Linked DNA regions of Ovis aries. Each later gene encodes a partner of the first gene's protein in a complex. Links are inferred from orthologs where the notes say so. Each region holds a gene or a part of one and is shown in the gene's direction. Other genes may lie near its edges. The genes, in order: MED20, MED12, MED26, MED13L, MED7, MED31 and MED8.

The links.
Region 2: MED20 (region 1) and MED12 share a complex: the UniProt entries of both Homo sapiens proteins name them as parts of the mediator complex. The link is inferred for Ovis aries from reciprocal best matches to the Homo sapiens genes MED20 and MED12.
Region 3: MED20 (region 1) and MED26 share a complex: the UniProt entries of both Homo sapiens proteins name them as parts of the mediator complex. The link is inferred for Ovis aries from reciprocal best matches to the Homo sapiens genes MED20 and MED26.
Region 4: MED20 (region 1) and MED13L share a complex: the UniProt entries of both Homo sapiens proteins name them as parts of the mediator complex. The link is inferred for Ovis aries from reciprocal best matches to the Homo sapiens genes MED20 and MED13L.
Region 5: MED20 (region 1) and MED7 share a complex: the UniProt entries of both Homo sapiens proteins name them as parts of the mediator complex. The link is inferred for Ovis aries from reciprocal best matches to the Homo sapiens genes MED20 and MED7.
Region 6: MED20 (region 1) and MED31 share a complex: the UniProt entries of both Homo sapiens proteins name them as parts of the mediator complex. The link is inferred for Ovis aries from reciprocal best matches to the Homo sapiens genes MED20 and MED31.
Region 7: MED20 (region 1) and MED8 share a complex: the UniProt entries of both Homo sapiens proteins name them as parts of the mediator complex. The link is inferred for Ovis aries from reciprocal best matches to the Homo sapiens genes MED20 and MED8.

What each region holds. Positions count from the first base shown.
Region 1 is NC_056073.1:15,719,589-15,723,819, reverse strand, and holds the start of MED20 (mediator of RNA polymerase II transcription subunit 20), read left to right. Parts: upstream 1-1,431; 5' UTR 1,432-1,530; coding exon 1,531-1,544; intron 1,545-4,034; coding exon 4,035-4,189; intron 4,190-4,231. Other genes in the region: BYSL (bystin), read right to left, coding at 721-988. UniProt on the Homo sapiens protein: Component of the Mediator complex, a coactivator involved in the regulated transcription of nearly all RNA polymerase II-dependent genes.
Region 2 is NC_056080.1:63,840,805-63,844,304, forward strand, and holds part of MED12 (mediator of RNA polymerase II transcription subunit 12), read left to right. Parts: intron 1-1; coding exon 2-229; intron 230-406; coding exon 407-551; intron 552-717; coding exon 718-838; intron 839-1,195; coding exon 1,196-1,297; intron 1,298-1,397; coding exon 1,398-1,511; intron 1,512-1,759; coding exon 1,760-1,935; intron 1,936-2,115; coding exon 2,116-2,295; intron 2,296-3,349; coding exon 3,350-3,421; intron 3,422-3,500. UniProt on the Homo sapiens protein: Component of the Mediator complex, a coactivator involved in the regulated transcription of nearly all RNA polymerase II-dependent genes.
Region 3 is NC_056058.1:6,189,194-6,193,248, forward strand, and holds the start of MED26 (mediator of RNA polymerase II transcription subunit 26), read left to right. Parts: upstream 1-1,255; 5' UTR 1,256-1,516; coding exon 1,517-1,588; exon of another isoform or gene 1,589-4,055. UniProt on the Homo sapiens protein: Component of the Mediator complex, a coactivator involved in the regulated transcription of nearly all RNA polymerase II-dependent genes.
Region 4 is NC_056070.1:58,647,681-58,651,792, forward strand, and holds the start of MED13L (mediator of RNA polymerase II transcription subunit 13-like), read left to right. Parts: upstream 1-1,312; 5' UTR 1,313-1,504; coding exon 1,505-1,576; intron 1,577-2,159; exon of another isoform or gene 2,160-2,558; intron 2,559-4,112. UniProt on the Homo sapiens protein: Component of the Mediator complex, a coactivator involved in the regulated transcription of nearly all RNA polymerase II-dependent genes.
Region 5 is NC_056058.1:66,400,747-66,404,889, reverse strand, and holds the start of MED7 (mediator of RNA polymerase II transcription subunit 7), read left to right. Parts: upstream 1-1,343; 5' UTR 1,344-1,396; intron 1,397-1,787; 5' UTR 1,788-1,833; intron 1,834-4,143. UniProt on the Homo sapiens protein: Component of the Mediator complex, a coactivator involved in the regulated transcription of nearly all RNA polymerase II-dependent genes.
Region 6 is NC_056064.1:25,119,335-25,122,474, forward strand, and holds part of MED31 (mediator of RNA polymerase II transcription subunit 31), read left to right. Parts: intron 1-2,970; coding exon 2,971-3,140. UniProt on the Homo sapiens protein: Component of the Mediator complex, a coactivator involved in the regulated transcription of nearly all RNA polymerase II-dependent genes.
Region 7 is NC_056054.1:18,067,155-18,071,120, reverse strand, and holds the start of MED8 (mediator of RNA polymerase II transcription subunit 8), read left to right. Parts: upstream 1-1,166; 5' UTR 1,167-1,188; coding exon 1,189-1,194; exon of another isoform or gene 1,195-2,283; intron 2,284-2,529; coding exon 2,530-2,648; intron 2,649-3,654; coding exon 3,655-3,799; intron 3,800-3,966. Other genes in the region: KICSTOR complex protein SZT2, read right to left, coding at 984-1,010. UniProt on the Homo sapiens protein: Component of the Mediator complex, a coactivator involved in the regulated transcription of nearly all RNA polymerase II-dependent genes.

The sequences.
Region 1 (4,231 bases):
CCTTCTCCGTTTGTGAATGCTGCTCACAGACAAATGAAAGATGAGTGTTGAGAAATGGATTAAGCAACTTGGAGGTCAACACTCTCAGAGTAATAACGAGAAAAATGACCATCTTTTAAATAATCTCGCTCCCTTTCTAGTCCTGAAACAATATTGTTCTTTGTGCTCAGAGCACTCCCTACTTTTCAGTTCTCAGCACAACGGTCATGCAACCTGGGAAACCTGACTCCCAAGACTAATGCTATTGTCAGAGAAGCTATACTTTATCACGAGTGCATTATTCTAATTGCTTACTTAATTCTTTCTCTCGGGCTACACTGGAAGATCCTGACGTTAGGTATACCTTTACCCTGTTTACAGTTTTTTATCTAAACCATCTAAACTCCTAGCACGGCGGGATGTGCGTAGTAGACATTCCATGATTACTTACAAAACACGTAAATAAATGCCAGGAGAACTTAGCGGCGTGAGTAACCACTTCCTGCTGGCCTAACCTCGGTGATGCCTATAAGAGTGCCACTCTAAGGAATGGGCGTGGAGGGCTCCGGCAACCCTCAATCTGCCCCAGAGCTGGGTCTCCCAACCCCATTACCTTTGCCAAGGGCCTCAGTTTTTTGTTGTTGTTGTTTTTTAATTCCAAGTTATTCCCCTGCCAGACACCTTTCAGCCGTCCGCCCCAGCTACCCACCCTCCTCCTCGTACCCCATCCCCCCCACTCACCCAGCCGCGTGGTGCGCTCCCGCGGCACCGCGGGCCTGTCCCCGCTCCCATGCTCGGCCTCGAGCTCCTCTTGCTGCTGCCGCGCTTGCTGCAAAATCCGTCGGGTCAGCCGGGGCCCCACGTACTCTTCCTCCTCGTCTCCGGTTCCGCGACCCCGCCGTTTTTCTCGGGCTCCTGCCCGCACCGCGTCACCAGCCAGGATCTGCTCGGCCAGCGGCGCATGCTTCTCCTGACCCCCGGCCGAGCGGGCCGCCTTGAACTTGGGCATTTTTCTAGAAAACCAAGCCGTGAAGTTTCCCACGTGGGTATGGAGGAAAAAAAGGCCCCGAGTGCGCTTGCGCGGTAAACACCCAGCGCCCGAGAGCCCACCGGAGCTCACAGCGCCCCCTCGCGTCTGGAGGCCGGGTGTGCCAGAAGCCCCGTCCCACCCCCCCCCCCCCCCAAAAAGAGCTCACGGGTCCTGGAGCTGGGTCCTCCCGAATTTAACGTTGTCTTCTCTAAGTGGTTGTAGTCCGAGATACACTTTCCTAGTTTCATGGATCTGGGTCCAGGGTGCCCAGGCGAATGGGAATTCCCTGACCGGCGAACCAGGGGATCGGGGGCGGGGCGGAGTCGGGCAGTGACCTCACCGAAGGACCCAGACACGCCCTTCCTCGTGGGCGTGTCGACTGGACGCTGTGTTTTTACGTAAGTTCCGGAGCGCCTGCCTCCATTGGAGCTCGCTTTAGCGAGGTGGTTTCTCCTCTTGTGGGCTGCTGGAGCACAGCGCATTTCACTTGTTTGATCCTCCCATCTTCCTGGCACGACACCATGGGAGTGACTTGGTAGGACTTCAGAGGACTTTGTGGGGCGGGGTTTGGGGACTTGAAGGCCCCTGGAGCCTCGAATATACCCGGGAGGAGGATCCCGACCAGGGTCCACAGTCCCCCGGAAGATGAGCAAAATGTCCTCGGATTGTGTAAGTGAGGGGGCCACCGCGAGGGCTGCAGAATCTGCAGGCCCCTTTCCTCGGAGATTCGCCCCTTCTTCCTGGAAGGCGGCAGGAAAAAGGGTTTAAGAACCCGTTAATGATCGTGTACCTCCTTCCTTTTTTCTTGATACAATTTCTTGACCGTGAAGCCTGGGGTAGAACTTTAGGGTTGAAAGTAGTATGTCGGGACTCGGACCCGTCTGCAGGCAGGGCTTGGATGGGTAGGGGATAGGCAACAAGGAGATAGTATCTTTTTTAGGTTTTTGCCTGCCCCTCCTTACAGCCACTAAATGCAGTTAGATCAGCATGTGTCTGGTTCTAGTTTGGCCTTTGTAAGATCTTGAGTCTGGAGGGAAAAAAGGAGCTGTTGGGAATTAGGAGATAGGAATTACAGGCACATCACCTCTTCAGGGTCTGTTTCCTATTCTGTTTAATTACCTGGTTGGTTTAGTTTTTATGGACTTATTTTAACACGTTATAAGTCAGTGTGGCAGGGAAAGGTATGGGCTTAATTCTCTTCGAGTCATTTAGTTCCAAAATGCTAGATTTCAGAGCTTTAAAATATATATATCTTGAGCATCTCTCCCAGAGAGGGCTTAGAGGCCAGGTTATCTGAAGGCAATGGCTCTAGGCTTCTCATGTAAGAGCCTGTGGGAATTCCTGGTAGCCCAGGTCTTGCAGATTTGTCAGTGACTGCACATTTGCTTCCTGAAGCTGGCATCATGAGCCTCCTTCAAAGTCCTGTAGTGTAAGAAGGGTGCGAAGAATGGGAATGAAAAGTTTGCTAGGGTCTTTCATGACAGTCCAGTGGTTAACATTCCACGCTTCCACTGCAGGAGGCACCTTCTACTTCAAGGGGCATGGGTTCAATCCCTGATTGGGGAATTAGATCCTGTATGCCTTGTGGCGCAACCAAAAAAAAAAAAAAGCATGCTGCAAAGAGGCGTGAAACCCTGGAAGTACCTGTTCTCTCAGGGCAGAAGGCAAGCAGGGAAAGGGCTCTCTCTTGGGATGCTTCGCAACTTTTTCAGGCTTCTAGGACTTCTGACCCCAGTAGCATCACCTTAGGGATTCTCTTATATTTCAAAATGAGGCACATCATCATCATTACTTGTTAGTACTTTTTCTGATGGAGATTAGAGACAGTTTTAATAACAGTAGGACTCTATAGCTTCATTTAGCCGATTTTGGTTGATCATAAAGTAATGCAGTGTCCCCCAACATTCAGCCACATATGATTCTACTTAAGATTTTTAAATAGCCATGTAGCACTTGAAATATTATTTATTAATGTCTTCTTTTAATTCCCTTTCTTTTCCTTAAAAGTATTTATAGCTGTATTCCTGGGGAAGCATTCTGGTAGAGTTAAGAGCGTGGACGTGGAGCCAGCTTGCCTGGCTTTGACTCTCGGCCACACCACACCAAGCTGTGTGACCTTGTGCGAGTTATTCAACCCCTCTGTACTTTTCTTTCCTCACTGGTAACAAAGAGATAATTGTATATCTTATGGGGCTAATGTGAGGATTCAAAGAGTTAGTTCATCGAAAGGTCTTTGGGCACTACCTGTCACATAGCTGGTCCTTGGTGATTGTTACCTGCCACTCTGTAAAGGGGGAGCCAGTTTCCCTCACCATAGAAGGAAATCTTGGAAATGACTTTTTGTTTCGTTGTTTTGGTTAAATTCGTGTACATGCTGTTTCCTTTCACGTCTGAGGATTAGAAATTTGAGGCTTGCTTTCTCTTTGGTCCCAGGAGCCTTAAAACTTTCTGCCTTGATGGAAATGTTCTGTATTAGCACTGCTCTCAGCCACTTGTGGCTGTCAAGCCTTGAAATGTGGGTTTTGCAGCTGAGGAGTTGAGGTTTTAATTTTTAATTCGTTTAAATGTAAATAGTCGCATGTGGCTTGTGGCTACTGTGCTGGACAGCTTGCATGCAAAGTGTTAAAGAGAGTAATAATAATTGGAATAATAATTCCAAGTTGAGGTTTTCTTTTTGATGTAGTCAAAACTGAAAGAAACGCAGAAGAAATCCCTTTCTCATTGTATGACTCTGTGTTACTGAATGCTCAATCTATGTGCCACCTAAAATCTTCTCTTGAACGTTGGCATACTTGCCACACTCCGTCAACGGAGGTGCTCTAAACAGGAAGTTCAAAGCACTGGTATGCGTCCTGAGACCTGCTCTGGTTCTTAGTGGAGTTCTCAAGAGACTGTGGGCCTCTGTTTCCTTCTTTTTAAACTGAGAAGGTTCGGTTTGATGGTGTCTGTGCACATACTGGCCCTGATGAGCTACGATTCTGCAGGCAAGTGAATGACTCATTGATTTTGGTCCTTTTCCTTCCAGTGTGTCTCAGATGCCCGTGGCCGAGGGCAAGAGCGTCCAGCAGACTGTGGAGCTCCTCACCCGGAAATTGGAGATGCTTGGAGCAGAGAAGCAAGGAACATTTTGTGTGGACTGTGAGACCTATCACACAGCTGCCTCTACCCTGGGCAGCCAAGGTCAGTGAGAGATGGGCCTGTGGGATGGCTGGAACCTGGTTT
Region 2 (3,500 bases), on another chromosome or scaffold:
GTGACTTCTGCTCCAAGGTGAAGAACACCATCTACTGCAATGTGGAGCCATCAGAGTCCAACATGCGCTGGGCACCTGAGTTCATGAACGACACTTTAGAGAACCCCGCTGCTCACACCTTCACCTACACGGGGCTAGGCAAGAGTCTTAGTGAGAACCCTGCTAACCGCTACAGCTTTGTCTGCAATGCCCTTATGCACGTCTGTGTGGGGCACCATGATTCGGATAGGTATGGGGCGTACTGAGTGAGGCATGGGCACCACGCTCCCGCCTGATGTTGGGAGGGATGACTTGCCCGGGAGGTACCACAACCTTGGTTATAGCCGGGGTGGAGATGAAAAGTTAATGAGTCTGAGGTTTTGCCAGAACAGGTTTTTTTGCTGAGGGCATTTGTACTTTTCCCCAGGGTGAATGACATCGCCATCCTGTGTGCAGAGCTGACCGGCTATTGCAAGTCACTGAGTGCAGAGTGGCTGGGAGTGCTTAAGGCCTTGTGCTGCTCCTCTAACAATGGCACTTGTGGTTTCAACGACCTCCTCTGCAATGTAGATGTGAGACTGGGGGTGGGGGCGCACCGGGCAGTCCCCAGGGCAGGAGTCTGCTCCCAGTGACTGTGAGAGCGGAGGGACAGCTTTATGCAGAGTGGAGGCCCAGCACTCAGAGTAGGAGAACTCTTTCCACACTGAGTCCTGGTGTGTGTCTGCTTTTTTCCTCCAGGTCAGTGACCTGTCTTTTCACGACTCCCTGGCCACTTTTGTTGCCATCCTCATCGCTCGGCAGTGTTTGCTCCTGGAGGATCTGATTCGCTGTGCGGCCATCCCTTCACTCCTTAATGCTGGTAAACTACCAATTTGTGACCCGTAGAAAGTCTAGACCCCCAATGTCAATACACACTCAATGGCTATACTCTCCTTGTTCACTGTGGGGCTCCTGGTGGCACCAGAAGCCAATTCTGTTGTGTGTCTCAGGCTGGGAGGGGCCTCTTTCTGACCCTGCACCTGTATCCCCAGTCTTTCCTGTTCCTGACCCTTCCAGGTTCTCCCCTCTACACTATAGAACAGTTGGCTCCCTCACCTCTCCTCCAATGTGTTATCTCCTTTTGCCTGACCTCAGCCACCTTTTTAGTGCCTCAGCACCCACAAACCCACATATAGCCCACCTTCATCCTTTCCCCGCCTCTGTGTCTTCTCTGTAGCTTGCAGTGAACAGGACTCTGAGCCAGGGGCCCGGCTTACCTGCCGCATCCTCCTCCATCTTTTCAAGACACCTCAACTCAATCCTTGCCAATCGGATGGAAGTAAGTGACTCCATCCAAGCCAGCCTGCCAAGGATAGTGTGGCTACCCTACCCCCACCGTTTCTACTTTGGCTTCCCCTGACTTCAGCTCTCTCCACCAGACAAGCCTACTGTAGGAATCCGCTCCTCCTGTGACCGCCACCTGCTGGCTGCCTCCCAGAACCGCATCGTGGATGGAGCTGTGTTTGCTGTTCTCAAGGCTGTGTTTGTACTTGGTATGGGGGTAGGAAGAGTGGTGCCAAAAGTGTGTATAGGGTGGAGCGCCAGCTAAACTACAAAGGGCAGTCTTTCTCTCTCCTAAAGCTGGTCTCTCTGACCTTTCTGGAGGATAGGAAGGAGGGAAGTATATTTCTGTCCCATAGGGCAGGATTTGGGGAGTGCTGCTTCTGTGGCTCTGGGGCAGGTCTCCACACAGCATTGGGATCTCACTTTGCACTCCGTATCTCCCGCCCGTGAACCGCAGGGGATGCGGAACTGAAGGGTTCGGGCTTCACTGTGACAGGAGGAACAGAAGAACTTCCAGAGGAGGAGGGAGGAGGTGGCAGTGGCAGTCGGAGGCAGGGTGGCCGCAACATCTCTGTGGAGACAGCCAGTCTGGATGTCTATGCCAAGTACGTGCTACGCAGCATCTGCCAGCAGGTCAGTCTCACCTTCTCTCACAGACCTCTTCAATGCTGCTATATAATATAGTCTTGTTTCCTGTCATGATCACACCACCTCCCCGCCATACATTTTGTCCCTCACCAACCGCTTGTCCATCCCCCTTATTCGTAACCCCCTCACTGGTTGGCCCAGTCCCCTAATTCTTGGCTTCCTCAGGAATGGGTAGGAGAACGTTGCCTTAAATCGCTGTGTGAAGACAGCAATGACCTGCAAGACCCAGTGTTGAGCAGTGCCCAGGCCCAGCGCCTCATGCAGCTTATCTGCTACCCACATCGGCTGCTGGACAACGAGGATGGGGAAAACCCACAGCGGCAACGCATTAAGCGTATTCTCCAGGTAGGCCAAGGTGACGGGGGTCTTGGAGGAAGTGGTAGGGCCTGAACCTGGGGTGAAATGATGGGAACCTTGAGAGAAAAAGAGAGGGAGAATTAAGTAGGAAGATGAATGAGGATATGGTGAGAGGTGGTGAGAGAAACAGCTCCAGCATGGGTTTCGAAGTCAAGCCAATATGGTCTAGACTCAAGAGTGAACCATTGGGTGAGGGCACACAGCTGGCTGGAGTAGGGCTTTGGCTTATCAGTGGGAGACAGAGCATCTGGGAGGTCTAGATTTTGGTCGTATGTGTCTGGCATGTCGATCGTAGCTCAGTGATGAGTAGTAATGCTGTTGGAAAGCTACTGCTTATTGAGTGGCTGCTTCATGCTGGGTACTGTGCTTAGTACTCCATGTAGATTTCCTTAGTTAGTCTTTACAACCCTGTGAAGTAGGCATGAATATCCCTGTTTTAGCATCAATGAAACTGAGGCTTGAAGAGGTTAAGTAACTTGCCCGAGGTTCAGTAACTCACGCAGCTGGTAAGTTTAGAGTCAGTATAGGAGCCCAGGTCTGCCTGCACCCTTCCTGCCTCGCCACACTGCTGCAGACATTCATGTGACTGGGGGTGGAAAAATAAAGCTGTTGAGGGAAACCTAAAGGAATGAGGCCTCTTCGGCTGAGAGAAGATAATGCCTCAGAGAGATTAACTAAGACTAGCCCTCGGGTCTGTAAAGGACTTTGAAAACAGGAGTGGCGAGCTTCAACTTCAACATCAAAGATTTAAGTTAAGCATTAAGCAGAACTTCCTGATGCTGAGGAATGTGAGGCTCTGGAGCAGGAAACTGGGGAAGATGTGAAATTTTTCCAAAACCACTTTTGAAATAGGATAGATTTTTTTTCAGTCATTTTGGATTATTTAAGTGTGATTTTTCCTAAAGAGGGAAAGTCGAGGGCCCTTTCAGACCTCCAGGCATATGTGATTCAAGGTTGTGAGAGATCAGGGGCTGGCATCAGAGTACTAAGTGTCTGGGATGACACAGTGATGACTAGATTGCTGATGGGGTCTCTGTCACAGAACTTGGACCAGTGGACCATGCGCCAGTCTTCGTTGGAACTACAGCTCATGATCAAGCAGACCCCTAACAATGTGAGTGGTTCCCAGACCCTCTCTCATGCTCACTTCCAACAATATGTGTCAGGGAAGGGGGCTGCCATAGAAGAGCCTA
Region 3 (4,055 bases), on another chromosome or scaffold:
TTCTCATCAGCTGCCTCTCTCCTGTTTTAAATGTAGGTCTTCCTGTAACAAGAAGAAAAGTTATTTCTCTCGAGGCTGCGGCTAATGATCCACTCACTCACCTGCCTTTCTTACCCGTTTGCATAACCGTATATGTAATAAGAGCTTCCACGGAGAGCCGGCAATGAAAGAAGGCAATGAGGAGGCGAGGGGCCAGGAGAAGCCCTTAGACTTGACATTTAACAGTTCTGGGTTTGATCGGTAACTCTGGGTGACCTAGGGCCTCAGTTTCCTCCTTGGTAAGGGTGTTTCAGTTTTCCAGCACCACCATGCAAAGCAGGGTGGGAAGGTCTTTTAAACCAGTGATTCTCAACAGGGGTCGATTCTACCAGCCAGGTGACCTCTGGCAGTGACTGGGGACATTTTTGGTCCCCTGCAGGAAAAGGGTGTTACTGGCAGAGACCAGGGATGCTGCCGAACATCTTGCAACGCACAGGACAGGCCCTACAACAGAGTGATCCAGCCCCAAATGTTACTGGTGCCCAGGCTGAGAAACGCCGGAGTGGACACAGGTTTGCAACGTTGGTGTCAACTCATGCGGCCTCGGGGCTTTCCTAGCTGCGGTAGCGGCTCCTCCGTGAGACACTTTGCTGTCTCATGTTTTGGGGATCGTAGCCCGAGGCGCTGCAGACCCCCGACTCGCACCGCCCCCTCTGGAGCGTCCCACAGCGCTCCTCAGTTGACCCTTCCGCGCACAGAATTACAACGTGGACGTCTGCCTCCTGGCCTCCCCGAACGCAGAGGAGCTGGGAAGGACCCCGGGGCGCAGGAAACTTGGCAGCTTCTCCCGCCCGCGATTCCCGTCATCTTCGTCAGAATGGGAAAAGCTTTTCTACCCTAGGAGTGAGGTCCTTCATCTGCCCTGTCCGCCCAGAGCGCCAGGGTTCAAGGACTCGGCGCTCACCTAGCGTTTCCGTCGGAAACCTCCTGCCGCCACCCCCTCAACCTCCAGGCTTGGGTGGGGGCGGGGCCTCCAGGCGGCGGCCGTTGCCCCGCCCAACCGCCTCCCAACGGCTCCCTGGGCCAAGCGGTGGGGCGGAACAGAGGTGGGGGCGACTGCGCCTGCGCGCGCATGCGTGGAGTCTAGGGGCGTGGCCTGCAGGTGGCCCCGCCCAGACTCAGCGTCTCTGCCCGCCCTATCTCCCAACCTCCTCAGCGTGGCGCCGACGCTGCGTGCGGCGCGGGTTACCCAGAGTGCTTCGCGCGGGGGTAGCTCACTGGAGTTTGGTTCTCGAGGCGGCGGCAGCAGCGGCGACGGCTCCGGCGGCTCCTCCTCCTCCTCTGGTGGTGGCGGCGCCCCGGGCCTGAGCCCCGGCCCCGGCTCACCTCTCCGTCACCCCGCGCGCCCCCTCTTTCCCCGGCGCCGCGGGGAACATGAGGCTCCGCTCCCGGAGGCCGGCGAGTGAGTGACCCCGGTTCCCCGCCTCAGCCCGCCCGCCCGCTGGCCCGGCCGCTCCCCCCCCGCCTCGCCCAGGCAATGACAGCGGCTCCGCCGTCTCCGCAGCAGATCAGGGACCGGCTGCTGCAGGCCATCGACCCCCAGAGCAACGTAAGTACTCCTCACACGGGTTAAAGTGGAGGCCGCGTGGGCCCAGGACCCTCCCCCTCCCTAGTGCTCCTAGTCCGCCGGGCTCCGAAGGATCCCCCGGACACCCAGCTGCCCCTGAGGGCCGCTGCCATCCCTGTCTCTCTTCCCCCGGGCCCGGGCCGGGGGCTGGTCGGGCAGCCCGGCAGCGCTCGGTACGTGAGGCCGAGGCTTTAATGCGGCCTGGGCGAAGGGAGCAGATGGGAGCTGAGACTAGAGTTTTTCCCCCTCATCCACCCTAATTCTACGACCCTTGCTGTTCCTGACTGTGCTTGCCCACCTCGCCCTTACCATAGTACCCGCGACCCCCGGGAAGCCCTCCCGGCGGGGGGGGAGGGGAGGGGGAAAGGCTGTGAGCAACTGGTGTCCGGGGTAGGACTCGGGGAGCCCGTGCCGCCGGTGTCTCGGCCTTATCGATGAGGAGGGAAGTCTTATTTACCTTGCCTCCCGGCTGGAAGAACCTTTCTGGCTTCGAAGGGAGCCCCCCTGGCCTCCTTTACACCTAGCCGGGTGCCCAAGGCTCGTGGAGAGTCCCTTTCGGTTCTGAGAGTGGACTTGCTTCGCTGGGTCTCTCTTGGGGTCGCTGCCAACGGAAGATGATCTTGTAGAGAGTGGGATTCTTCCTATTACCTTTCTGGGCCTAAGTATTCCTTGCGTATCAGACCAAGGCAGAGCCCCGCTTTTGGGTAGTGAATTAGAGGTGATTATGTGCTCTCCCATTCCACCCAGAGCCCTTCTTCGTGTGCCCCCTACGTGGGGCCCTAGCCTGTTGGTTTGTGACCTAGACAGTCAGGGTTAACCCCAGGGTGTCGATTTCTCAGGTGCTGCTCCACTGAGGCTGCTGTTTGTGGAGGGATCTCCCCTGCCCTTCACCGTGTGTGTTGGGAAGGATTTATCTAATTCTCATATTTTCTCTGAGTGGTTGTCCGTGATAGGGGTTATTTTCCCTTGTGGCCAGAGCAGGTTCAGCAATGGCAAGATGTTGTAGCATCCAGGTATGAAGTGAGCCCCTGCATTTCCTGGGAGACCAGGAAGTGGCCATTGAAACCACTTTAATGTGCTGGGGATGGAAGAAATAAACCATCTTCGGCTTGGCCAGGTAACTTAGGTTTCTGTCACTGTGGGGACTTTTGCTTTTCCTTTACATGAGTTTTGCTGATTACTTTTAGCAGTAGGTTTTAGCCAGCACTGTGGGAATAATTCATGGTTGGATTGTACAAATTTGGTAGAAAGAGAGGAGTTGTGATCTTTATAAGACTGATTTCTGTATCATAAGTAATTCCTGGTCTTCAGGCCCCATGAAGATAGACTTGGTGGTACTTGTCTTTAACAAATGTTGTATACATTTTTGTTATGACTTTGGGGGTGGAGTAGGCACAAGCTATATAAAACCTTGCAGAATTTTTGCAGTAACTGGTGCTGCAGCAATTCCCAAGACTGAAAAAGTAGAGGATAAAACAAGTGAAATGAAAAATGTAGCCTTGATGACTTTCACCTCAGAGTGTAATTTCTCGAATTCCATGTGCTTGTTTGCCTTGCAGAGATTCTGAATGGTTGCTGAGATATTAGCACTGATCCTAATACCACCTAGGAGAGCTTTGGGATCAGGAGGCGCTTTAACAGGCAGTCACCATGTTGTAGATTAGGTGGGGCGGTGACCTCAGGGGTTCCAGTGTTTTGTAAGACTCTAAAGGGTTCCTAGGAGAACAGGAGGAAGAGGGTCCAAGCCCATGGATGTGTTCCGTATCATGGAGTGCACATTTCACGTGGCTTCTCTGGGACGACTCAGAGTCTTACTGATGTAAGTGTAGTGGATAAAATCGGGGTACTGTCTCTGAATATGAGTGATGAGAAAGTGCCTCCTTTAAATGCTGCTGTTGTCAGTGATGTTCCTGGGTGTTGTTACAAGCCATTTGACAGGAGTGTGGCTTGGAGCAAACTCCGCGGAGAAACTCAGAGCTGTGGAGGAATAGGTTGCCGGTAGAGATGGTGTGACCATATTTCTGCAGTTTCTCTTGATTGAACTGGGCCCAGGTGAGAGCTAGGTGGCTTCATCAAGGCATTGCCAGCACACAGCTGCTCTTCTCTGCCTTACCCAAGTAGAAACTCCACTTCTGCATAGTTAGTTGACACATATTTAAGATGCTCCTGGAAAATAAAAATGGGGACAGCGTTGAAGAGCCAACACTAAAATTAAACCTCTTTTGAGACAAGCGACTGAGAATTGTGTCATTAATGCTTACCTTTATGGGCATGCAGTTATGACAACAAACTTAACTTTTGCTTGAAAAGTCAATGTCAGGGAGCTGACTTAATATCCACAAGTATCTAAAAAGTTAGGGAAGTAACAAAGTAACATTTTCTGATCATCTCCCTGACAAAGAGAGTTCTTAAGAGGAAAGTTCTTTGCTCTAAATTCTAGCTTCTGGAG
Region 4 (4,112 bases), on another chromosome or scaffold:
GAGCCAGGCGGGAAGGTCTGCTCCAAATCCAGCCCAGTAGTGTCTGGTAGTTTAAAAAATACATATATTTATATCCTGGCACAAAGCAAGAGGTCAGAAAGCATTTCTGCAACGCATGCATGCATGCGCACAGCGCCTACGAGTAAGGGATTAAAAAGGCATTTCTGGATTCAGAGCATAGTGCGTGGTACACAGTAAGCACTTCCTGGCCTAGGCTTTAAAATCTTGATGCAAGAGCTCCGCTTCGCTGTGTGCCTGAATACAAGGGTTCGAATCCCATCCCCTCCTCTTCCTAGGTGAGCGACCTCGGGTAAGTGTCTTAACCTCTTTGTGCTTCAGTTTTCTCATCTGCAAAACGCGGACCACGGAGTGAGACCTCGAGGAGACACCCCGAAGCACTTGGATCTGCTGTCTGGCCCATGGCGGGCCTCTGCCACCCAGCCGGCAGGGGCGATCGAGGGCACAGGCAAGGAGCCCCAAGCCCTCCACAACCACTGCCACCGGCGTTCCCGTGGCTCGCGGTCGCGCCCAGCAAAGATTCGTGCACCCGAGGGGGCGGGGCGCGGGGCGGCCGGCTCAGCGGCTGACTGCCCGCCCGCCCGCCTCGGAGCCGCGCCGCCCGCACTTCTTTCTCTCCCTCTGTCTCCGTCTCCCTCCCTCTCTCCGCCGGAGAATCCAGCCGCTCTCGGCTCAGCAGCGCCGCCAGCGAACAGTCGCGGCCGCCGCTCCGGCCCCTCCCCCGCCTCCTCCAGTCCCCCCCCGTGCGGCCGGCGCCCGTCACGTGACAAGGCGCCAGCCAATGGCGGGCCGAGCCGCGGTCGGCGGCCGCCATTGCTGTCAGAGCGAGCGAGCCCAGGGAGGGAGGAGAAGCGAGGCTGACTGGGGAGGAGGGGGGGGTGGGGGAGGAAGAGGAAGGAGGGGACGTCGCTCGGCTGCCGGGGTCGCCCGCTGGCTTCGTCCGCACCCCCCCCTTCGCGAGTTCGCGCTCCGCGGCGGCGGCGGCTCCGAAGCGGCGGCGGCGACTCTAGGGCTCGCCTCCCCTCACGCGCCGGCGGGGGCTGAGGGGGAGTCGGTGGCTGGAGATAAACAAGGCGGCGGCGGCGGCGGCTGAGGAACAGGGAAGGCGGAGGCGGCGGTCGGCCCGCAGCGCCGGCCCGGGAGGCAGCGGCGGCCCTGAGAGGCGGGGAGGGCGCCGGGCCGCGCGGACAGCGCCCCCCGCCGCCGCGGGAGCAGCCGCCGCCGCGGGAGCAGCCGCCGCCGCCGCCCGAGCAGGAAGGAGCCGCGCGGCCGCCGCGGACCCCCCCGCCGGCCCGGGCCCGCCGCCCCCGGCGCGGCGTCGCCGCGGCGCCTCTCGCCCGCCCGCCGGCCCTCGCGCCCTCCCCCGGCGGCGGCGGCGGCCGGGCCGCCCCACGCTCCCCGGCGAGGCGCCGCCGCCCGGCCCGGCCTCGCCTCGGACGCCTCGCTCCGACATGCCCCGCTCTGGCGGCCGGGCTCGCGGAGGATCATGACTGCGGCAGCGAACTGGGTGGCGAACGGGGCGAGCCTGGAGGATTGTCACTCCAACCTCTTCTCGCTGGTGAGTAGCCGGGCTGCGGGGAGGGGGCTGTGCCGTGGGGTGGGGGGGGGTCGACCTCCGCCACCGACCAACTTTCTCCTCCCGCCGCCGGGACTTCGCCCCTCCCTCGCCTCTCCCCGCCGTTCGCCTCTTGCCGATTCTCCCCCTTTTGGATCGTCTCTCCTTCGCCTTGGATCCCATCCAGTGTTTATTTGGCTCTTTAAAAATCATTTGTGAGCGCGGCGCTCGGCGTGGAATTTGCATGTGGAAGTCTCAAAGCTGCGGATTCTGGGTCGCACTTCGAACGCCCACCCTCTGTTGCAGTCGCACTCCCCTTCCCCTCCCTTTCCCCCTCTTTTCCCCCCTTAAATGTGGAAGGCTTTTGCCTTGTGTTGCCCGCGCCTGCGATAAGCAGCTTTTTTTCCCCCTTGTGTCGGATCGGCTGCCCGCCCGCCCGCCCGCCTTTTGAATTTTTTAAAAAATTCCATAATGACACCTGCAATTTCGCCCGAAAACAGTTGATTGAATGCGATTGTGTCAGTAAAGGACTCTTGCACCCGAAGCTCCGGCGATTGTAAACATCGACAGCCGCCTGCCTCTCGGGGCTTACTACGCTGGAGAGCCTTAAAGCCATTGCACCGAGCCGACGGAAGGTGGAGAAAGCTTTTTTTCTTTCTCTCCTCCTGTGTCTTTTAAAAACTGTTTTCTCTCTGCTCACAACGAATCCACACACACACACACACACACACACACACACACAAAGCAACAAGCTGGGCGGTTTGATAACATCGCTTTTATCTGTCTTCGCCTCTCTCGCGCTCTCTCTCTGATAATTGACAACTTTTCCTTCGGATTTGAATCGCCTGCCTTAATCTTGAAGCAGTTAGGGTGTCAATTGTTCTCCTGGAAGCCTGGCATCCGACGACGGCGTCTAGATTCATCGAAATTAAAAATGTATAGGGTTCCAGAAACTCTTTCCTGGCGGTGGCAGTGACATTTGGTGGTAAATGCCATCTTTGCTTTTTTTTATTGGGTCGTATTACCTAGCTCTGAAAACATTCACGTTGTTAAACCTGGCGTTTAGACTAATAATTGCAGTGCGTGGTCTTTAAATATGTGCTTTGTGCATGAGTAACTGTATGTATAGCTATGTGCCCGGGAGACTACGAATTTGTTTAAATATTGAGCAAAGATTTGTAAACAGATGTAAGGCAATTATGTTTCAAGCGTGGAATATAATTGGAAAATTGGCTGAACGGTTTGTTTAATTTAGACTTTAAAAAAACCCAACTTTGTTTAAGTGGTGTACCCTTTTTGGGGGACTGCCTTTAGAGAACATGCATTTTGGAAATTGTTTTCCGTAACCTCTGCTGTACATAGAGCTTTATTTCCTCTTAATCTTTGTTTACACTGGGTACATAATTTAGTGTTCAAATTGTAATTAGTTACATTTAATTAAGGGTAGCATAGATGCTTTTTTTTTTCCTTTTGAGACTAGTGGAGAAATACAAATTCTTGCCAACTTTTTAAATAGAAGCTTTATTAAATATATTTCATTATGCAGATTTTAAAAAATGAAGACAAGCGATTTTTACCTACTGAGACCGAGTGACATAGTATCTATGCTTTTACTGTAGTAATAGCAGGTCAGTTTTTTTCCTCCCAACATTTTTATTCGGATATTTAATCTTAAAATTCAGTTACAAGTTGTGATTCTCCCTTTCAGTCCTGTGATAACTTCCCCTTGCCTCCTCTTTTCTTCTCTCAGTCTTTCATTTAGTGTCACTCAGATTCTCAGGGACTTCCATAGGGTAGCAAACATTGACTAAGGGGTATTTAAATGGTTTTTGTTTGGTGACTGGTGACCGAGTTGACACTTTATCAGGAAATTAAAATAACCAAGTAGATCAGTATTAGTGAGGAGAGATTCCCCCAAATTACCATATATCATGCTGACTGATAATGGCTTGTATATATGTGGCTATTTTGTATACAGTACCTTTCATGTAGGAGTGAAAATACATGTGTAGCCAGTCTTCAGTATATATCATTTCTTTTTTTATCCTTTTTTAATTTTTTTAAAAAGCTTAAGAATGATAATGTTTCTAAAGATGTTTAATATTGTTTTGGAGAAAAAATTTGTAGGAGAGGATTCTGTGCTTTCTGACTTTCTAAAGGTTTGTGCTTAAACCAGGAATTCATTTTTGAGTATAGTTTTTTTAAACAGAATTATTCTTTAGGTAGCAACTTTGAAATGCAGAAATGCTTTTTTCTTTTTTGAAGAACTGTGTAATGTCTGTGTTCTCTTATAGATGGAGGTTGGATAGCCGGTTATTAAAAAACTGCAAATCCGTTAAAGAGCTACTGATACTGTAAATTTTTCTTGCTCCAAATTGAGCATTTTCTTGAAAATCAGATACAGCAGCAACCTGGAATATCAAAAATATGTTGCCTAAAATACATTGTATAGAATAATTAATTCCAAAGGAGATAAAATCATCACCTGTTCAGAATAAAGCATGTATTATAAAAACTCTTAGTACATAATATTAGCGTA
Region 5 (4,143 bases), on another chromosome or scaffold:
AGAACTTTAAGAGTGGCCAGATCAGTCATATTTTAAGACAGTATGATAAAATAGGCTTTGTTGTTGTTGCAGTTCAGTCGCTAAGTCATGTCCAACTCTTAAATAGGCTAAGGAAGGACAAAAGTGGAAGCAAGGAAACTATTGACATTTAGGGGGTTATTTCAGAAGTCAGGGGAAGATTATGGTGGCATGGATGAGGATGGAGGCAGTGCGGATGGTGAAAATTAATATTTTGAACTTTTACTTATTTCCACATAGAACTAATACAAAAGACTGATACCTTAATTTTGAATAGAGTATGGGAGAAAGAGGAGTGAAGATGAACTGTTATGTTGGAGACTTTGCAGTCGAATAAAGATGTGTAATACTGTTGGTTAAGAGGGTCTGAGTGCAAGGGACAGGGTGTTGCCAGGATCTAGATACCACTTGAGTATTATCACCTGGATGACATTAAGAGGAGAACTCAGTCCGGGGGCAATTCAAATGATCAAGTGTGCCAAATGCTGCTGAAAGTAGACCAAGATGAGGACTAAAGAATGCCCACTGGAGGTCACAATTTATGTAACATTGGTCTCAATGGAGAAAAGCCTGACTGGGGTATGCTCAAAAGTGAACAAACTTCTTCAACAAATAAATTGATTGTGGGTGGGGGAGAATGAGGTAGAGGAAAGAAACTACAGATTAAAAGATGATTAATAGATACATCCAGTATCAGACTGATACAGACAGTCACAAAGGGGTGGACTTTACTGGATCCTCAGATAATTGGTATCCAAATACTGACTTGATTTTCACAATATTAAATAGCTGTCGTGTCTGACTCTTTGCGACCCCATGGACTGCAACACGCCAGACCTTCCTGTCCTTCACCAACTCCAGGAGCTTGCTCAAACTCATGTCCTTTGAGTCGGTGATGTCATGCAACCATCTCCTCCTCTGTTACCCTCTTCTCCTGCCTTCAATCTTTCCCAGTATCAGGCTCTTTTCCAATGAGTCAGTTCTTCACATCAGGTGGAAAAAGTATTGGAGCTCCAGCTTCAGCATTGGTCCTTCCAGCGAATATTCAGGAAAATAGAAAAAGAAAGCAAAGAATAGCTACTTTTAATAGTAACACATTCTTCGCGACCCCAAACCCTGTGGCTGCTGCAGAATCACGGAAGGGTGGGAGGTGCCAGAGGGAAGGTAGGAGGAAAGGGGTGGCTGGGGAGAGGGAGTATGCGCCCGCGAAACGGTGAGCCAACCGTCACAGAGGCGGGACTAGAGCCTCGGTTAAAGGACAGCTCTTTCCAGCCAATCAAAGGACAGTATCAGTGGCTTCTTCCTGGAAGTGGAGGCCGGAAGTTGGATTTCGGCTTGAGGTGGAGAAGGCGGCTGCTAGTGTAAGCCCAGAGCTGAAGTAAGTGGGCGGCGACGGCTTGGGCCTCAGTTCCTCGTACATTTCTTTTTCCGGACCCCGCTGCTTCCTTTGGGAGGGCTGGGAGTCCGGGGAGGCCTGGTGCTGAGTACGTTCGTCCGCCTTCCTCTCCGGCGTTCCTCAGAGAGCGCGACCTTCCCCGCAGCTCGCGAAGCCGGGGTCAGGGGTGGGTGGGGGTAGTTGGCCTCTCGTGGGAAGGTACCCTCTGCGCGGCGGGCTCTAGGCCGCCTCCGGGGGGAGGCCGAGCCCGGCCGGAGGTTGGCACACCTGAGTTCTAGACCCGCTCCGCTGGTTTACCGAGCTGTGTGGCCTCGCCACGTCTTCTGGCCTCTCTCTGGCCTTGTCCCTAACCAGTCTCGCCCTTCTTCCTCAGGGAGCATTCCTGAAATCAAAAGATTTAATGGGAGACGGGGAAGGAGGTAGGTCCCAGGCGTCATTCATTAGATCTTCTGGGGAGGTTTTAAAGCTACATTCCAGCAGCTCCGTTTACAGTAGATAAACGAGTCGAACGTCTGGAGATAAGACCCTACAATACCTTTCTTTTTTGGGTTAAATCCGTCAGAACGGAACAAACACTAGAAGATGATCTTGAGTCTGATAATCAGCTTTGATGCTTGACGCATGTCTTAGGAAAAACCTCCATTGCCTTTGACAAGTTTAGTCTGGAGAAGTGGTATAAACAAACATGATTTCTGTTGTATGTCAGTTTCCATTTGTACTCTAAGATGCTTCATTGTTTACTGATTTAAAGGAGCTTGTGCTGTGCAACCATAACAGGCAAGGTTGAGAGTTCCTGCTATGCCATTTCCTGGCCGTTTGATCTGGTTACAGATACTTCTTGGTGAGACAGACTTGGGACCCTCATCTCTAAAATGAAATTGATAGTAGTAGTAACTCATAGAATTAGTTTGAAGCTTAAGTAAAAGAGAATATAAAACAATGATACCTGTCATTTAGTTGCCCTTTGGGGATTGGCAGTTTAAGTAGAGGATTACACAAGGTTCTGGGAAGCACAAAACAGGAATTCCAATCTGAAAAGGCTTGAAGGGGTGAAACCTAGGCTGTATGAAATTTATTTTGAAGTACCAGATGATTGCTAATTCTCTGATTTTGTTAATTATGTGGTTCTAAGAGGACATTCTTATTTGGGTCTACCCACTGAAGTATTTTAGATAAAGAGATGAGAGACCAATAAGGCAGATGAGGGAAAATGTTAACATTTGAAGAATCTGAAGAATATGGAATATTATTCATAGACTGAAAAGTCTGAATTTTTGAAAGTTTTAAAACATTGGTTATAACTATTTGCAACTATCATAAGTGTGTTGTAAATAAATGAACCAGTACACAGTATTTATAACCCTCCATTCCATGTACTTTCACCCCTTTTTTTCTTAGTGGCCATATTGTGTATATATAGACATTTTATCCAAGGCCTCATATGGGTGAAGGTATGGATGAAGGTATGGGTTATTTCCAGCTTTTCCTGCTCTTTTCAAACAGTGCTGCATTAAATATCCTGATACACAGATTTGTGTACTTCTACCAATATTTTTGTAGGATAAATTTCTAGAAATAGAATTGTTGGGTCACCAGTCAGTCCTAAAGGAAATCAACAATAAATACTCATTGGAAGGACTGATGCTGAAGCTCCAATACTTTGGCTACCTGATGCAAAGAGCTGACTTATTGGAAAAGACCTTGATGTTGGGAAAGATTGAGGGCAAGAGGAGAAGGGGGAGGCAGAAGATGAGATGATTAGATAGCATCACTGATTCAGTGGAAATGAATTTGAGCAAACTCTGGGAGATAGGGACAGGGAGGCCTGAGGTGCTGCAGTTCATGGGGTCGCAAAGAGCTGGACACAACTTAGCAACTGAACAACAGCAACAGTGTTGTTAATCAGCTATACTTCAATATAAAATAATAAAAAGGATTGTTGGGTCAAAGAAATCAGCATTACAGTGTTTGATACTGTCACATTAATTCCAAGTAAGCATATTTGTTTCCTATCAGTTGTGTATGAGAATTCCCCATATTCTCTTGGTGATACTGGCTTGCCACCTTAGAGTGTTATGGTGGCTGTGATGGTGTTTAGTGGGACCTCAGGGCAACGGATGTTTTCCACTGCAGAAGACTTCCCTGCAGGGCCAGATTAGCTAAGAGCTTGCTTGTAAAATTGGCATGACCACTCTGAAGAAGCTGAAAGGTAGAGTGTGATCTGTGCTGGAATCCAGCACCTGCCACATAGAAAGTGTTGTTTGTTAAGTGATGGAGTATTTGAAATCTTGATAGTCTTATATGGATAGGATCCTTTTTTAGAATTTATTTTTAATTGAAGGATAATCGCTTAATTGGCAACTGTGAATCAGCCATAAGTATACATATGTCAACTTTCCCTTGAACCTTCCCCCCGACCCCCACTCCATTTCACACTTGTAGGTTGTCACAGAGTACCAGATTTGAGCTCCCCATGTTATACAGCAACTTCTCATTAGCTATTTTACATATATGTGGGGATTTTTTGCCTTTTTTTTCTTTTTTTAATTGGAAGATAATTGCTTTACAGTATTGTGTTGACTTCTGCCATATATCAGAATCATGAATCATGAATATATCATGAATCAGCCACAGGTATACATAAATCCCCTCCCTCCTGAACTCCCCTCCCATCTCCTACCCCATCCCACCCCTGTAGGTTGTCGCTAGGTTGAGCTCCTTGTGTCACA
Region 6 (3,140 bases), on another chromosome or scaffold:
TGACCCTGAATTAATCCAGAACCAATCTATGCCTTCTTGAAGAATAACCATTCAGATATTTAAATTTAAGAGAGGCTGCAAATTAACTCCCATTTCATTTCTACACAAGGTTTTTGTTTAGTAGTTGTCAAAATTTAAAGATTGGAGAGTTTCATATTTTGATTCAGATTTCTAAGCTTCTCTTTAAAAATTTGGAAGATCTGATAACCCCAGGTCTTTGTTTTCCCAGGTCAGTCATTGGCTAGAGCAGAGCAGCAGCTACCTCTTCTAGACAATGTCCTCCACCATTTCACTAATAGCAACGACCTGCAGCTGTAATTTATCTCTTACATTCAAGGATTCACAATGTTGATTTTCTGGTGGCTCAGACTGTAAAGCAATGGCACCCCACTCTAGTACTCCTGCCTGGGAAATCCCATGGGCGGAGGAGCCTGGTGGTAGGCTGCAGTCCATGGGGTCGGAAGAGTTGGACACGACTGAGCGACTTCACTTTTACTTTTCACTTTCATGCATTGGAGAAGGAAATGGCAACCCACTCCAGTGTTCTTGCCTGGAGAATCCCAGGGACGGGGGAGCCTGGTGGGCTACCATCTACGGGGTCGCACAGAGTCGGACACAACTGAAGTGACTTAGCAGTAGCAGCAGACTGTAAAGCATCTGTCTACAATGCGGGAGACCTGGGTTCAGTGCCTGGGTTGGGAAGATTCCCTGGAGAAGGAAATGGCAATCCACTCTAGTACTCTGGCCTGGAAAATCCCATGGACAGAGGAGCCTGGTAGGCTACAGTCCATGGGATCGCAAAGAGTTGGACACGACTGAGCGACTTCACTTTCACTTATGTCAGCTAAAATCCTTCAGTTCTCATTTTCATCAGTGCTGTTAGTTGAGTTCTCCATTTATTTCTCATTTGTTTTTTAAAAAAATCTAAATGCAAACTTTGCTTTTGTATCTCTATTTCGTCTTGTTGGTTGATGCTATAATTGTCACCTATTAAAATATTTATAGTCCCTTATTTTGAGCATGGTCTTCTCCAAGTCTTATAAGTGATCACTGTATGTCTAAGTTCCAGTTATTGAGAAGTAGCATTTGCTACTTGAAGACAGTCCTCTTGGTTATCACATTAATTTATTTTACGGAGGAAGAAACTAATCCTTAAGAAAGGTTAAGTACCCTGTTCAAGGACACCCAGCTGTAGAATGGGCAGAGCTGGTTTCAAACCTAGGTCTTTGTTGATAGAACATCCTCATGAGAAGGAAATAGCTAGAGTAGATGTGAGTAGGGCTTTCCAGGCTTCAGTTCAGTTCAGTCGCTCAGTCGTGTCCGACTCTTTGTGACCCCATGAATCGCAGCACGCCAGGCCTCTCTGTCCATCACCAACTCCTGGAGTTCAATCAGACTCACGTCCATCAAGTCAGTGATGGCATCCAGCTGTCTCATCGTCTATTGTCCCCTTCTCCTCCTGCCCCCAATCCCTCTCAGCATCAGAGTCTTTTCCATTGAGTCAACTCTTCGCATGAGGTGGCCAAAGCTGCTGACAATTACAAGCAACTATGTATCTCTGGAGTATAGGAAGCAAATGTTCAATAAGGAAACATTGTGTTGGGGCCTGCTGTTGTCCTCAGACCAGCAGCATTGAATGCAGAGCTCAGGCTCCACTCCAGATTGATGACCTGGTTCAGCTGGTGGCTGCTAGTTTTCTCTGTATCAAATTACTTGTTCTTCGCTTTGTATTTAATGCCTATCTTGTGAGGGAATGCTTTGAGACGGTAAATATAGTGTTTCATATTTCAGTTTTTTACCTAACTTTGGCAATCTATGGAAAATACTTGCTTGAAAGCTTTTTCTGTGATTTTCTAATTCCATAATTCTTTATTCATTTGTTAGTTGAAATTCAGTTGTAAGGACAGAATATTTCCTTGTTCCTAATTTATTTATTCATTTTATAAAGTTACATCAGTATGGACTCCTGGATTCTTTATCTTATGGGTTATAATTATGTATCTTCTTGAACTAGTGATCCTGGATACAGCCAATGGGAACACCTTCAAACTGGCTCCTGTGTACTTTCAACAAATCCCTATATTTTTTGAGCATTTTTCTTTCTGCCACTATGTAATAGTCCAGGCTCATCTTTTACTTTCCCTGTGTTAGCCGTAGCATCAGCCACGTCTCCAACCAACCCTGGATAATACTATTTAAAATCCATGATCTGGGTACTCGGTGTGCTCATTGGTCCTGGAGTGTCATTGATTCTAGGCTCTCTCAACACATAAAGCTAGAAATGGGTCTGTGTGTATCTATTTCTATATCTGTGTGTGTGCGCACGTGTATAAAGCCATGAGTTCATCCTGATGTTTTCAGTTCCAACTTAATAACAGGATTCATTCTAGCCTTCCCCCTTCCTTATCTGAAACTACTTTTCTGAGAGCCAGAGGTTTGGCTTTCTGTTTATAGTGTATGTGCTCAACCTCTGAGTATATGTACATAATTTCAGAATTGTTATATCCCTGTGGGAAACAGGAATACAATATCTGCATAGTTTTTTCTGAAGTTGACTCACTTTTAAAAGCTGTCTTATCATAGTTTATGGAAAACCAATAGGTATTAAACACATAATTATGAAAATAAAGTGTTCCTATCCCTTACCTTGGAAATCACCGAAGAGAATAGTGTGATTTGCGCCCAGATGTTGACCAGTTATTGTGTTACCAGTTGACAGTAACGCTATTTACCAGTTACTGTGTGGTCTTCTGTAAATTATTTAATCTTTCCAAGCTTACATTTTCTCACATTTGAAAATTTTGCTGACTTTTGATGATTAGCTTTTCTGTATATGCAGGAAAAAAAAAGTATTACCAAAGTATACCAAGTTAATGTTACAGAAATGATAGAGTGCAAAAGCATGTTTAAGTGAGTTAACTAGAGCGTGGTATTATTATGTCAATCATTAACTTATAAACTTAACCCCAGGTACCCTCAGTGTTTACACATGTTAGAACTGCTCCAGTACGAACACTTCCGCAAGGAGCTGGTGAATGCTCAGTGTGCGAAATTTATTGATGAGCAGCAAATTCTGCACTGGCAGCACTATTCCCGGAAGCGGATGCGCCTTCAGCAAGCCCTGGCGGAGCAGCAACAGC
Region 7 (3,966 bases), on another chromosome or scaffold:
TCCTCAACTGAAAAATGGGGATAAGTGTCTACTGTGTAGGGTTGAGAGTAATCTTTGACATTGGTAAAGCGCTAAGATGGTCTCTGGGACACAGTAAGCATTCGATAGGTAAGGATTCAATACATGATTATACACCTCTCACCCTTCCCATCCACTCACATGTTCTCCTGTAACATTGGGCAACTCTCCTAGTGATGTTTTCTTTCCAAATCTGACATTTTAGACTTCTAATTACAAAACTCTGCCACTCCCCAGCTGAGAGTAGCACTTGGGTAAGGTACTTCACTTCCCTCGATTTTTAGTTTGTCTGTATATGGAAATGGGTATTGTCACCTTCCTTGCACAAGTCTGAACCACACAATGTATACAAAAGTTCCTTGCATGGTCCTTCGTACTTAATGGATGCTTCATTTGCATTTTCCCATTTAAAACGTGTGATCCTCACAATAGACCTGAAGATAGATATTTTACAAAGAAGGAAACAGGATCCGGGAAGTCAAGATTTGCCCAAAGTTGCACAGATAGCTACAGGGCAGCGCCAATACCAGAACGAGGTTTCACTCTGAATCCAACGTTTTTTCATGAAATCTAAGCTGCTCTCCAATTGCATGAGCGCTAGAACCTAATTAATTTATGCTGTTTATGGCATTCCAATAATATTTGAATGAGGCAGCAACCGGCAAACCTGCCCACTGAAACTGCAACAGAAGATCAAAATACAGATTTTCTGAATGCCATTACGAGGTCAAAGAACCCAAGAGCCCTAGAGTAGAGAATCGTGGATTAAATTTCGGCAAACAAAACTGAGCCACGAATTCCTCCTCTAGGCCTCCCCGAGGAAAGTAGGGGTGAGGAGATGCTACTATTGGGCCTTCAGGAGGGCCAGGCGGCCCCCAGACCCGGAGGAGGCCACGGCCGCGCCTGGCCGCCGGACCCTCCCCCTCGGATCTACAGGCCCAGCGCTGCGCCCGCCCGCCCCTCACCTCCGGCTCCGGGCGCTCCGAGGCCATCACACAGCCCTCCCGCGCCGGCCCGGGCCAGAGAAGATGCTCCGCTCCTGACCCCTGACCCGGAGGTCTCGCGACTGGCGGGGCCGGAAGTGAGTGGGAGGGTCGAGTTCTGAGCTTTCTAATTGGCCTACTTGGGAACCGGAAGAGGAAGTGATTGACACCGCCCCCCGCCGCAGCAATGCAGGTGAGGACCGGTTTGGCGCTAGCGACGGGTAGCTAGCTTGGGGTAACGAGACAGAAAGTGGGCTGGCCGAGGAGAGAGTGAGGAGTTAGGGATGAGAGGACTTGGTCGAGACCGCGACTGTGAGATAAAGGGACGCGCGATGGGGACGAGGACCTCTGGAGAGGGATAGGGGTGGAGCCCGGCTGACAGGAGACAGAAACTGCGGTTAGGTTGGGACGGAGAAGGCAGCACTGTCTTGCTAGGGTGTGGAAAAAGGATCAAGTTGTTGATAGGGTGTGGAAAAGGATCAAGTTGAAATTTGGGAAGGTGCAGTCCAAGGAAGACGGCTGAAGAAAGAGGTGGATTGGGCTCGGGCTCAGGCCCCGGCCTAGACGTTGGATGTTGACAGAACAGAGGATCTAACTGGAGAGAAGCCCGAGGGTGGAAGGAATTGTGGGACCGTGGTGGCCAGAAGCCAGACTAAATAATCTGAGGCCGTGGGTGGAACCCGGCTCGTGTCCTCCACATTCGGGGTTTTGCAGTTCTGTTTCATTCTTCCTAGTGTGTACCCCTAGTAGTTAAAGGGTGAAATGAGATAAAACTGGAGACCCCTCAGCTTTTAATATAGTTTGCCTAGTGCTTAGGGGCATGTGCGGTTTGGTTGCTGTTTTGTTTTGTTTTTCATTTGTCACTGTTTGTTGCAGAAGGGTAGTTGTCAGTACATTTTTATAGGTTGACTAAGCTTGCGAAAGGGGCACAGGAATATTGGCACAGCAATAAAGTGAGTGCAGATTGATTTAGCAAGGAGGAGGTTGAAACAGCAAATGCTGAGGGAAGAGGAAGGTGACGGTGGCAGTATTCAGAGGAGCCTTCCTGTATAGGTAGGTTTTCAGAGATTATGTCATTGCCAAGAACAGCCAGGTTCACAAGGCAGGTTCTAGAACATAGGACGTCAGAGTACGTCTGCTGCTGAGGTGTGCCGAACAGAATAAATCCCAGGCATTACGTCTGGTGAAAATTGTCCAGTGAGGGAGAACAGATACAAACCAAGCCTAATATAGAGAAACAGTCACGCCCGGATTAAAAGCGATGAGAGGAAGGAATCAGTAGGTAAGAGGAATTGAGGTCAGATGAATGGGTTTTAAGGTCTAAGGGTTGATGCTGTCTGTGATCCTAACTCCAAATAGGGGTGGAGCCCGGCTGACAGGAGACAGAAACAGCCTGACTGTCCCTGTGCCAATGAGATTCTGTGTCACTGTCCTGGTGTTGCACACTGTCACCCTGGCTTTTCAGCCTTCCTCTATATGTGTCATCCTTACACTCAGCTGAGTAACCAACCTATTCCTATTGGCTCAGAGGGAGGAAAAACAGCTTGAGGCATCATTAGATGCACTGCTGAGTCAAGTGGCTGATCTGAAGAACTCACTGGGGAGTTTCATTTACAAGCTGGAGAACGAGTATGACCGGCTGACCTGGTAAGAGTTGCCAGGGCAAGCTGGGGAGGGCTCTATGGGTGGGGGCTAGGCCACCTGCTGCACAGGGTACCTCCTCCAGCATTTATCACTTTGTGAACATCTTTTGATTTAGAAAGAGCTGGCTTTCCCAACATTTAACACTGAAGTTGGCCTTGGACCTCAACTTTAAGGGTAGTAGAGAAATGCCCAATTTCTCAACCCAGGTTCTTTCTAGCTTTTGATTCTCCCTGTTTGACTTCTCCAGGATGAGGTCCTCCTGCAGTGGGTCCTCCCACCACAGTATTCATACTGGATTTCTTGCACGGGTTTTGCCAAGTCTTTTAGGTCCAATCTAGGAAAGTTTGGATCTGGAAAGGGATCTTTCACCCGGTTTCTGAAGTTCTAGTGATAATAGTGTAGCCATCGTTCCTATTTTGCCATTGTCCTCACCCCATTCAAATGTAGTAGCTCCTCGTGATCTATCAGGGGTAAGTTCTAAGACCCACTGTGGATTCCCGAAACTATGATAGTACTGAATCCTATTCTGTATATACTGTGGGTTGTTGTTTTTTTTTTTCTATACTACTTGTGTGGGTACCGTATACGGTATGGATATGCTGGACAAAGGGGTGATCAACATCCTGGGTAGGACAGAGTGGGATGAAGCAAGATTTCATCACACTCCTCAGAACACCTCCCAATTTAAAAACATGGATTGTTTATTTCCTGGATTTATCATTTAATATTTTTGGACTGTGGTTGACACGGGTAGACGAAACCTCAGAAAGTGAAACTTAGGATAAGTGGGGATTGCTATAATGACCTGTTTTTTTTCTCCATCTGTGTCAGAAACTCAAAGTGTATCCCTCTTTCTTAACCCCATAATCCCTGCGAGCCAGTCTAGTTCCTGCCCAGGCCAGCATAGGGCTATGAGTGTTTTGGGGGTGAGTCTGGTTATTCCTAGTCCGAGGGACCCCTTTGAGGCTCCTTTACCAGGAACATGCTGACATCTTCTTACCACCACCAGGCCATCTGTCCTGGACAGCTTTGCCTTGCTTTCTGGACAGCTGAACACTCTGAACAAGGTCTTGAAGCATGAAAAGACACCACTGTTCCGCAACCAGGTCATCATCCCTCTGGTGTTGTCCCCAGACCGAGATGAAGATCTCATGGTAAGAGGAGGAGAGGGATGCAGCTTAGGAAACAAAGCCCTTAAATGAGGACTGACAGCACAGTGGTTGGTTTCTATCTAGAAATTTTGAATATGCAGTAGTGTGTGGCAATAAGTGGGGGCTACATTTTGGAGGCCTTGCTTTTTGTCCTTCTGTCCTATTTCAAT